Sus scrofa: one gene and its partner. The protein of the gene in region 1 purifies or fractionates together with the protein of each later gene. This does not show direct contact. Links are inferred from orthologs where the notes say so. Each region holds a gene or a part of one and is shown in the gene's direction. Other genes may lie near its edges.

Evidence for each region. Proteins that work in one complex are often made in the same cells at the same time.
Region 2: the proteins of PSMA2 (region 1) and PSMG3 purify together in Homo sapiens (affinity purification with mass spectrometry; 4 studies listed by BioGRID and IntAct, with this or other methods). This does not show direct contact. The link is inferred for Sus scrofa from reciprocal best matches to the Homo sapiens genes PSMA2 and PSMG3.

Annotation. Positions count from the first base shown.
Region 1 is NC_010460.4:51,915,479-51,919,546, forward strand, and holds part of PSMA2 (proteasome subunit alpha type-2), read left to right. Parts: intron 1-975; coding exon 976-1,057; intron 1,058-2,801; coding exon 2,802-2,875; intron 2,876-3,952; coding exon 3,953-4,010; intron 4,011-4,068.
Region 2 is NC_010445.4:1,051,603-1,056,134, reverse strand, and holds PSMG3 (proteasome assembly chaperone 3), read left to right. Parts: upstream 1-1,418; 5' UTR 1,419-1,449; exon of another isoform or gene 1,450-1,483; intron 1,484-2,056; 5' UTR 2,057-2,084; coding exon 2,085-2,300; intron 2,301-3,455; coding exon 3,456-3,608; 3' UTR 3,609-3,950; downstream 3,951-4,532. UniProt on the Homo sapiens protein: Chaperone protein which promotes assembly of the 20S proteasome. May cooperate with PSMG1-PSMG2 heterodimers to orchestrate the correct assembly of proteasomes.

The DNA of each region.
Region 1 (4,068 bases):
TGTATCATGAATTGGAAGAAAGGTCATTTTATAAGATTAGACATATTTTTTAAATAAAAGAGGACTCGGTATTCCCATGTCTCCTTAATCTGTGGAGAAAATCACTGTGATGAATTATTTCTGTTCTTAACTGGATCTGTAACATTTTCTTAACAAGGAAGTGGGAATGGTTTTTTGCTGTCCGTGTAACAGCAGAAAGCAGCTTCTAGCTAAAGGCCTTTGGCGAGTGATTGAAACATTTCTTTATGGGCAGTCACGGCTGCTTCCAAATTGATCTTCTAACCAGCAATGATCATCAGCCCATAATGAAAGCAGTAACTCTAACACATCTGTATTCATTTTAACGCCGCTGTCCTCGAGTGTGGGTGTGACATGGACGAAGTAGTGCAGAGGTGGTTGCTGATGTGTAAAGCCAGCGGAAAAGCTGCATTTGTTGAAACCTGTCATTTTTTTAGAACATGAAGTGTTGTTACTCCACACTTACTAACCCCCAAATGTATTTCAGTACCTTTATCAAAATGATCTGACTATTGTTCCTCAGTACCAGCTTCATTTTGAATTTATTTAGAAGGTGCTAAATGCTTTTATTTTTCTTTTTATGGCCGCACCGGCCGCACCTGCCACACGTGGAAGTTCCTGGGCCAGGGGTTAAATCCACCTGCCAGCCTACATCACAGCCAGAACAACACCAGATCCAAGCCTCAAGTGGGACCTACACTGCAACTTGCGACAATGCTGGATCCTTACTCCACTGAGCAAGGCCAGGGATCAGACCCGCATCCTCACAGAGACGGTGTCAGGTCCTTAACTCACTGAGCCACAACGGGAACTCCTTAAATACTTTTTAATGAGCTTAGAAGTCTCATTCGGTTTACTTTATAATTTGCTTTACTTGAGAGTATTAATAAGTTCTTACCTTAGGTTGACTTAAAGACCATGAAGATGCCAAGTTATTCTCACTTTTTCTTTCTTCAGTGGTGTTCGTCCATTTGGAGTGTCTTTGCTTATTTGTGGTTGGAATGAGGGACGACCGTATTTATTTCAGTCAGATCCATCTGTAAGTATCGTTAGGTATATCTGAGGGATTTGTCGAAGCGCTCTTTGACTATCGAATAATAATAGAAGCCATAAAAAGCTTAAAAATTAGAATATTTTGTTTTTCATTTAGGGCCGTCGAAGCAGTACATACTCACTTACACATTAAAGTGCTGGTAATTCACAGTCTTCAGTTAAGGGAGCTCCTTTAGTTCTGTGCTCTGTTCTTCTGTTGTGTTAACGTCACATACTTTGGTTGAAATAGTTGTTATCAAATCTCAAGTCTGGAATTCTTTTAAAAAATTGTAAGCAGAGATTAAAGGGTCTAGGGGGCAGTGCTCTTTGCCCTCAGTTTACTCTTAGGTCTGACTGGAGTGTGACTCCTGCGTAAACATTGCTGTTACTGTCTTGAATTCAATGGTCTGCGAGATGGATGCGTGGTCTGCTCTAAAGCAGGAGATCGGTGTCCGAGTCGGCTGGGGTCTGTAGAGGGTACCATTCTTCCACGTGTGTCGCGTGTCTGTCACTCACGTTTGCTGTGAGGAGACCCAGAATTAAAAACTCGTGCTCAAAAACTGATCTTGCGTAGCTTATAGGTCGTTAGATAAAGGCAGGTTCACTCAGTCCAAAACTTCTGGTCTAGCTTTGTAATCTGAAAGGGCAAAAAAAAAAAAAAATTGGTTGTCTGTTACTTAAGTCATAAAAGTAAGTATTTTGTTATTCTGTATCTGAGCTTCTGAAGCTAAAAGCCTTCTAACCTTTCTTCCTGGTGGGTATCAGAGCCACTGGCACTGGCATCCAGCTTTCATCTTTGCCCTTTTTGCCCCTGTTGTATCCAAAAAGCAGTTCTTTCTTTTAAAATATGTGTGGTGTGTTTCTTTCAGTGTCTGTGTGTGTGGGTGTGTATATATTTTTTCAGCAGATGAGGTCATGTTGTATATGACATACTGCTGGCTGCTTTTGCTTAATGTTAGATTTCAAAATATCAACACCTTTGCAAATTTTTAATGCAAAACTGTGTCTTTTTAACATAGTCACCAAAGACGATGGCAAGTTGGTCACCATTTTTTAGATACATATGACAGACTTTTGGAGCCCTTCAGTTCTAGTAAGCCTAAAATATTACTTTCCATTATTGGCTCTGAGTTAACCTCAGTTTCTTTCTTTTTTTTAACATAAATTTTGTACAATAAATTGCACATATTTAAAGTGTGCAGTTTGATGAGCTTTTGATGTATGTAAATACCTGAGAAAACCATCCCCACAATCAAGATGCTGAACTTCCCCATAGCCTCCAAAAGTCTCTTCATGCCTCTTTGTCATTTACCCTGCTAATAACCTTTCAAAAAAATAAATAAATGAAAGGAGTTCCCATCGTGATTCAGCAGTTAACGAACCTTCCTAACATCCATGAGGACGCAGGTTCCATCCCTGGCTTCACTTGCTGGATTAAGGATCCGGTGTTGCCATGAGCTATGGTGTAGGTGGCAGATGCGGCTCAGATCTGTTGCTGCTGTGGCTGTGGTGTAGGCCAGTGGCTACAGCTCTGATTCGATCCCTAGCTTGGGAACCTCCATATGCCGTGGGTACAGCCCTAAAAAAACAAAAAAATAAAACCCCATATTTTGTGACATACTCCATTGCATCTCGATAAAAATTCCGTGACCTTAGACGTTAGAGACAAATTATTGAACCAAGAAATAAATGTCAAGGCATATATAATAATGATTTAAAATATGATTTTTCCTCTTCCCTTCCTGATTAAGGGAGCCTACTTTGCTTGGAAAGCCACTGCAATGGGAAAGAACTATGTGAATGGGAAAACGTTCCTTGAGAAAAGGTAGGCTCATAAAACTAGAATCATTAGCGAACATACTTTAAATTTCAGCTCTTTAAATAACCAGGAATCTGAATAAATTTGTTGTGTTCCTGTGTATGGGAGTCTAGTTATTGATGGAACAGCAAACGTCTCCCTATCCCAGCTCCTAGCTTTCACTGTGGTAAGTGGTAATGTTCATTTCTTAAGAACTTCTCTTTCTGCATTCTCATTTTTTTTCCTAAATGTTGTGGGTTTTTTTTATTTTACTTTTTCCTTAAAAAAAGTCCCCACCAAAAAAAAAAAAAAAAAAAAAAAAGATTGGATTTGGAGTAAAAATTTGGGGAGGAAAACTTAACAGTTTACATTTTGACAATTACAGAAAAAAATCTTGGAGCCAACTACCTGGTGTTGAAGGTGGATTAAAGCTGGGATTTATGTGCTTGGTGAAATGTGGGATGCATAAAAATCTGCCCCTGCCTAGCATGGCAAACTGCTCTCACCTCCTTGCAGCTCTCTTCTAGACTCCGCATGGCTGTCGTCCATCAAAAAGTGTCCCGCGTTTTGAAAGAAAAATGTTTGTAATTGATCACAGCTAACAAATGAAACTTCTCAGTACATTTTCAATAATGTTTAAATTACTAGAATCTGAGACCTATGATTAGTTGGTAAACTTAGGATCTTAAAGCACTTTCTTTTTCCTTTTACATGTTATTATGAGTCTTCCAAACATTATAAGAACAGACATAGGAAATTTTAGCAAGGGTCTGATTCTCTGCCTTACTTTTGTAAATTATTATAATATCGCCACCACACTCTGAATCCATTAAAATTTTTACACTTAAAGGAAGTTTCCTAAAATAAACTCATGTTAGGGTTACATTCTTCATGATGGGACTGCACACCCAGTGTGCACATCAAGAAGCGACTGTCAGCTTCTTGTCTGGGGACAGCCAGCTCCGTGAGGCGACTGAAATAATTAATCTGTAACTTAATATTTTTAAGAGTGTTTTGGATTTATACTGTTGCTATCATTGCATTTGCAAGTCATAAATAATGTTAATAGGGCCATAAAACACTGTTTATCAACAAATTTTTTAGATACAATGAAGATCTGGAACTTGAAGATGCCATTCACACAGCCATATTAACCCTAAAGGTTAGTTCAATACCCACCAATGGGACTGGTAATGATTTTACAATTAACTGCTGGGAAA
Region 2 (4,532 bases), on another chromosome or scaffold:
TTGTGATACCCTGATCGGTAACCCGTCCTCACCCCCCAGGTGGTCTGATACCTGGCCGGCCTTGAGCAAGAATCCCACCAGGTTTCCTTGGCTAGAAGCCCCAAACCCCCAGCCCCCCACCCAGAGGTTTCCGCGTAGTAGTTTCCCACCCCCTGACCCCACGCCGTTCCTCGGCTGTAAATTCCCACCGGCTCCTGTGGTTTTGAACACGCGCGACCGATCAGTGAAGAAAGGATGTTGCAGCCATCAAGCTGTCACATTACAGCCACCACGACGGTGCACCCAGAGGACGAAGGCCGTGAACGCTGAAATCACTTGGGGTTGATGGGAATGAGCCCAGACTTTGCATCACCCGCCCCCCCCCCCCCCACTCACGGAGAAGCACTAAATTCCTTTTTTCTTTTTTTTTTTTTTTTTCTCTTTTTGCCATTTCTTGGGCCACTCCCGCGGCATATGGAGGTTCCCAGGCTAGGGGTCTAATCGGAGCTGTAGCCACCGGCCTACGCCAGAGCCACAGCCCCACGGGATCCAAGCCACATCTGCAACCTACACCACAGCTCAGGGCAACGCCGGATCCTTAACCCACGGAGCGAGGCCAGGGACCGAACCCGCAACCTCACGGTTCCCAGTCGGGCTCGTTAACCACTGCGCCAGGACGGGAACTCCAAGCACTAAACGCCTGGAGAGGTCTGGTTCCTTAACGGACAGCGACCTCCCCACGCGCCAGCTACCTGGTCTTTGCGCGGAACCGCCCGGAGGTGCCGGCTCCTGCCTCACCTCTACGGAGCGGGCTCCCAGTTAGATGCTGGGCCCCAGGCTCGGGTCCTCAGCTTGGTGTGCCACACGAAACGTAAGGCTCAGCTTTCGGGGTGCGCCTTTCTTTTCCGCCCACCCGTGTGCGGGGTGAGCCCGGCTCCACACCGGGGTCTCCTGCGCGCTCTGTGAAGCGCCCTGGGCGGAACCCGCTTTCAGCGCCTTAACTGCGGTCCAGCCCTGGTTTTCTCTCGGCTCCCTGTGCTTGCAGCAGCGCCCTGGAACCCACGGCCAAGGGGCCAGGGACCCCACTGCGGCTCCCCGGTGACAGAGGAGCAGGGCCGCCGTCAGGAGCGCCCGAGGTCGCCCCTGGGGAGAAGCCGGAGGCCGCTCTACTGCGGGGCCGAGGGGCCGAGGGGCCGAAGGGCGAGACCGCCCTTGGGAAGAAGCTGGAGGCTGCGCTCCCGAGCTTGGGGCCGCAGCCCCTCGCGCGACTCGGTGCCCAGCCCGTCGCTGCTGGCGGGCGGGCAGCCCAGCGCCTCAGAGCCCAGCGGCCCCGGCGCGACCGGAAGCCCTGCGGGCTGCACTTCCGGCGGGGGCCGCAGAGCCCGCGGGCGCGTCTGGCGCTCGGGAGCGGGGCGGGGCCTTAGGGGGCGGGGCCGCGCCGCCACCGGCGTCATTTCCGGGCGCGGCCTGGTGAGCGCGGGCGGCATGGCGGGCGGCAGGGAGGGTAGGGGGCCGCGGAGGCTGGAGCGGGAAGGCGAGGGCGGGCGCCCCCACGGTTGGCGCCCCAGCCACGGTCGCCATCTGCCTCCTGGCTCGGTGACGTGCTGCTTCTCCTGTGGGGCCGGTGGTTTTCCCAAGTGCAGAAAACGGAACCTCAATGGGCGCACTGGAGGGACGGCAGGAGCGTGGCCACCTGCTCTGGCCTGGCTTTTGCACCTGCACCTGCGGCGCTTTCAGCCCTTCACCCCCCCGGCAGTGGCACCACCGAGGGCCCCAGGACTCAGAGCCTCGGGATGGGGTGGGGTCACAGTGATGCTTAACAGCAGGGGCCCCAAGCGCGTGGAAGAGGAAAGAAAAGCATATTTTGACATCCTGCCTCCTTTGCCTGGCTAGTTTATGTATACAAGTGTGTCTACTCAATGAATCTAGAAAGTTTTGGGCAAATGAGGCCTGTAAGGGTTAACAGATACAGGCTTTTGAATGAGCCCACTTGTATTTCTGTTTTAATGCCAAATGGTACTTACTCTGGAGCCCCAAGGCCATCTGATGCTGATTTACTCTCTTTATTCTTAACAAGCTGAAGGGGCCATTGAACAGACCCAACCATGGAAGGCAAACCATTGGTGATGTCGAAACAGACGACTGCGGTAGTGTGTGGCGTCCCTACCCAGGTGGTATGCACAGCCTTCAGCAGTCACATCCTGGTGGTGGTGACCCAGTTCGGGAAAATGGGTACCCTGGTCTCCCTGGAATCCAGCAGCATGACCAGTGACATCAGCAAGCCTGTGCTCACCACCAAAGTTCTTCTCGGGCAGGACGAGGTAAAGGGATGGGGGCGGGAGCCCGGTGGCTACAATTTGTTAATACACACGGGGAGCATCTCTGGGCAGACGCCCCCACGCCCACCGCCACCAGCCCTCGACAGCATTTTCCGGGGCCTCTCTGCGTCTGAGGGCATCCACCTGCCCTTGGTGGCTGCTGCTTCCAGCCCATCAGCATTTTATCCTGCAGACAGGCGGAGGTATTGATTTTGCGATGTAGGCCTCCCCTCAGTTTGACCCTGTCATGATACATTATGGTAATGACTGGTTGTGCATGCTTCGTTCTGGAAAGACCATCTGTGAGCCTTGACAGGTTGCCTCTGCAGACTTTCAGGGGTCCTTCCAGAGCAGAAATCGCCGGAAGAGACAGGAACCAGAAGCACGAAAGGGACAAGTTTAATGATGCTCCTTAGCAGTGCGTTTATGACTGGAGTGCCCTGAGTCTCTTTGAACCTGAGTTACTGTCACACTGAACTTACCAGGTGGTGACTGAATGGTTGGAAGCCAGGCCGGGTTTCTCGGGGGGACTAGGAAGGCATTAAGAAGAAAAGAGGTTGGACCTAGAAATTATCACGCCAAGTGAAGTCAGGCAGATGGTGAGATGCCAACCTCAAATGCTGTCACTTACATGTGGGATCTAAAAAAAAGGACACAATGGGGCGTTCCCGTTGTGACGCAGCGGAAACAAATCTGACTAGGAACCATGAGGTTGCGGGTTCGATCCCTGGCCTCGCTCAGTGGGTTGAGGATCCGGCGTTGCCGTGAGCTGTGGTGTAGGTCGCAGACGCGGCTCGGATCTGGCATTGCTGTGGCTGTGGTGCAGGCTGGTGGCTACAGCTCCAATTAGACCCCTAGCCTGGGAACCTCCATGTGCCACAGGTGCGGCCCTACAGAGACAAAAAAAAAAAAAAGGACACAGTGAACTTCTTTGCAGAACAGATACTGACTCACAGACTGAAAAGCTTATGGTTTCCAAATGAGACAGGTCGGGGGCGGGCAGGGGCTTGGGATGGAAATGCTCAAAATCGGGCTGTGAGGCTCATCGCACAACTGTAAATGTAATAAAACCCATTGAGGAATTTAAAATAAAACTAATTTAGAAGAAGACAAGCGATTTCTTGCAGTTAAAATGCCTTCTCTCTCTGCCCTCACCAGCCTCTCATCCATGTCTTTGCAAAGAACCTGGTGGCCTTTGTGTCTCAGGAAGCTGGAAACAGAGCAGTCCTCCTCGCCTTGGCCGTGAAGGACAAGAGCATGGAGGGAGTGACGGCCCTGAAGGAGGTGATCCGGACGTGCCAGGTGTGGTGACCCTGGGGCAGCCACTCCTGCTGCCCGTCAGGACCAAGCGGAAACTCAGACACCGTCTCGAGGCTCTGGAGACCCTTCAGCCAGAAGGAGGAGCGTTCTCAGGCTTTAGCCCTCGAAACCGGAAGAACCGTGCACATCTGAGGCCGACTGGTTTGGAGGCTGACACCCCCGGCGGAGGGAGGCGAGCCGAAGGTGTCCTAGGAGAGCTGTGAGCGGTTCTCTCCGGCTCCCGAGAGTGGCACGTAGTTGAGAGTTGACGGAATGAGTCATGGCCCCCGATGTGCAGGTCATTTGTTGGGGGAGATGTTTGTCTTATTAAAAATAAATGCACATTCCAGAGTACCTCACCGTCTTTCGCGACGGTGCTGAGACATTTCCGTCGCGCGGCGTAAATCCGCTGCGGTGGTCTCGGCCTGAAGCCCACAGCCTCATCCTGCTCCTCTGCCTGTGGCCTCTCTGAGCGTCCCGGTCCCCGGACTGCTGGTTGGTACCCTGGCCTCCGGAGCCACATCCTTGAAAGCTGGGGCCAGACACATATACCCCAGGAGGAGGGGGTCAGGCAGGGAGGAGGGCAGGGGGGGCAGGCTAGGCGGCGCCTCACTTCCAGAGAGGCCGGGACATGGGAGAAGCTGGGACCGGGACATGGGAAGCTGCCCGGCTGGGAGGCCCAAGGGCTGGGAGGGCCTGTGTGTGCTGAGGCCTCAGACGGGACGCTGAGCCCAGCGAGGGGGCTGAAGGGCTTCAGGGCTCGCGGGGTCTGCCCCTTGGAGATGTTCCTGGGGCTTGACCTCAGGGTGACGTGTCCACGTGGAAGGCAGCCTGTGGCCACCCACGCCTGTGACAAAGGGCAGCCGGGGACCCATCTGGGCTCCTTCATCCCTCCACATTCAGCGACCAGGGTCGTTTCTGTTTGACCCTTTGTCT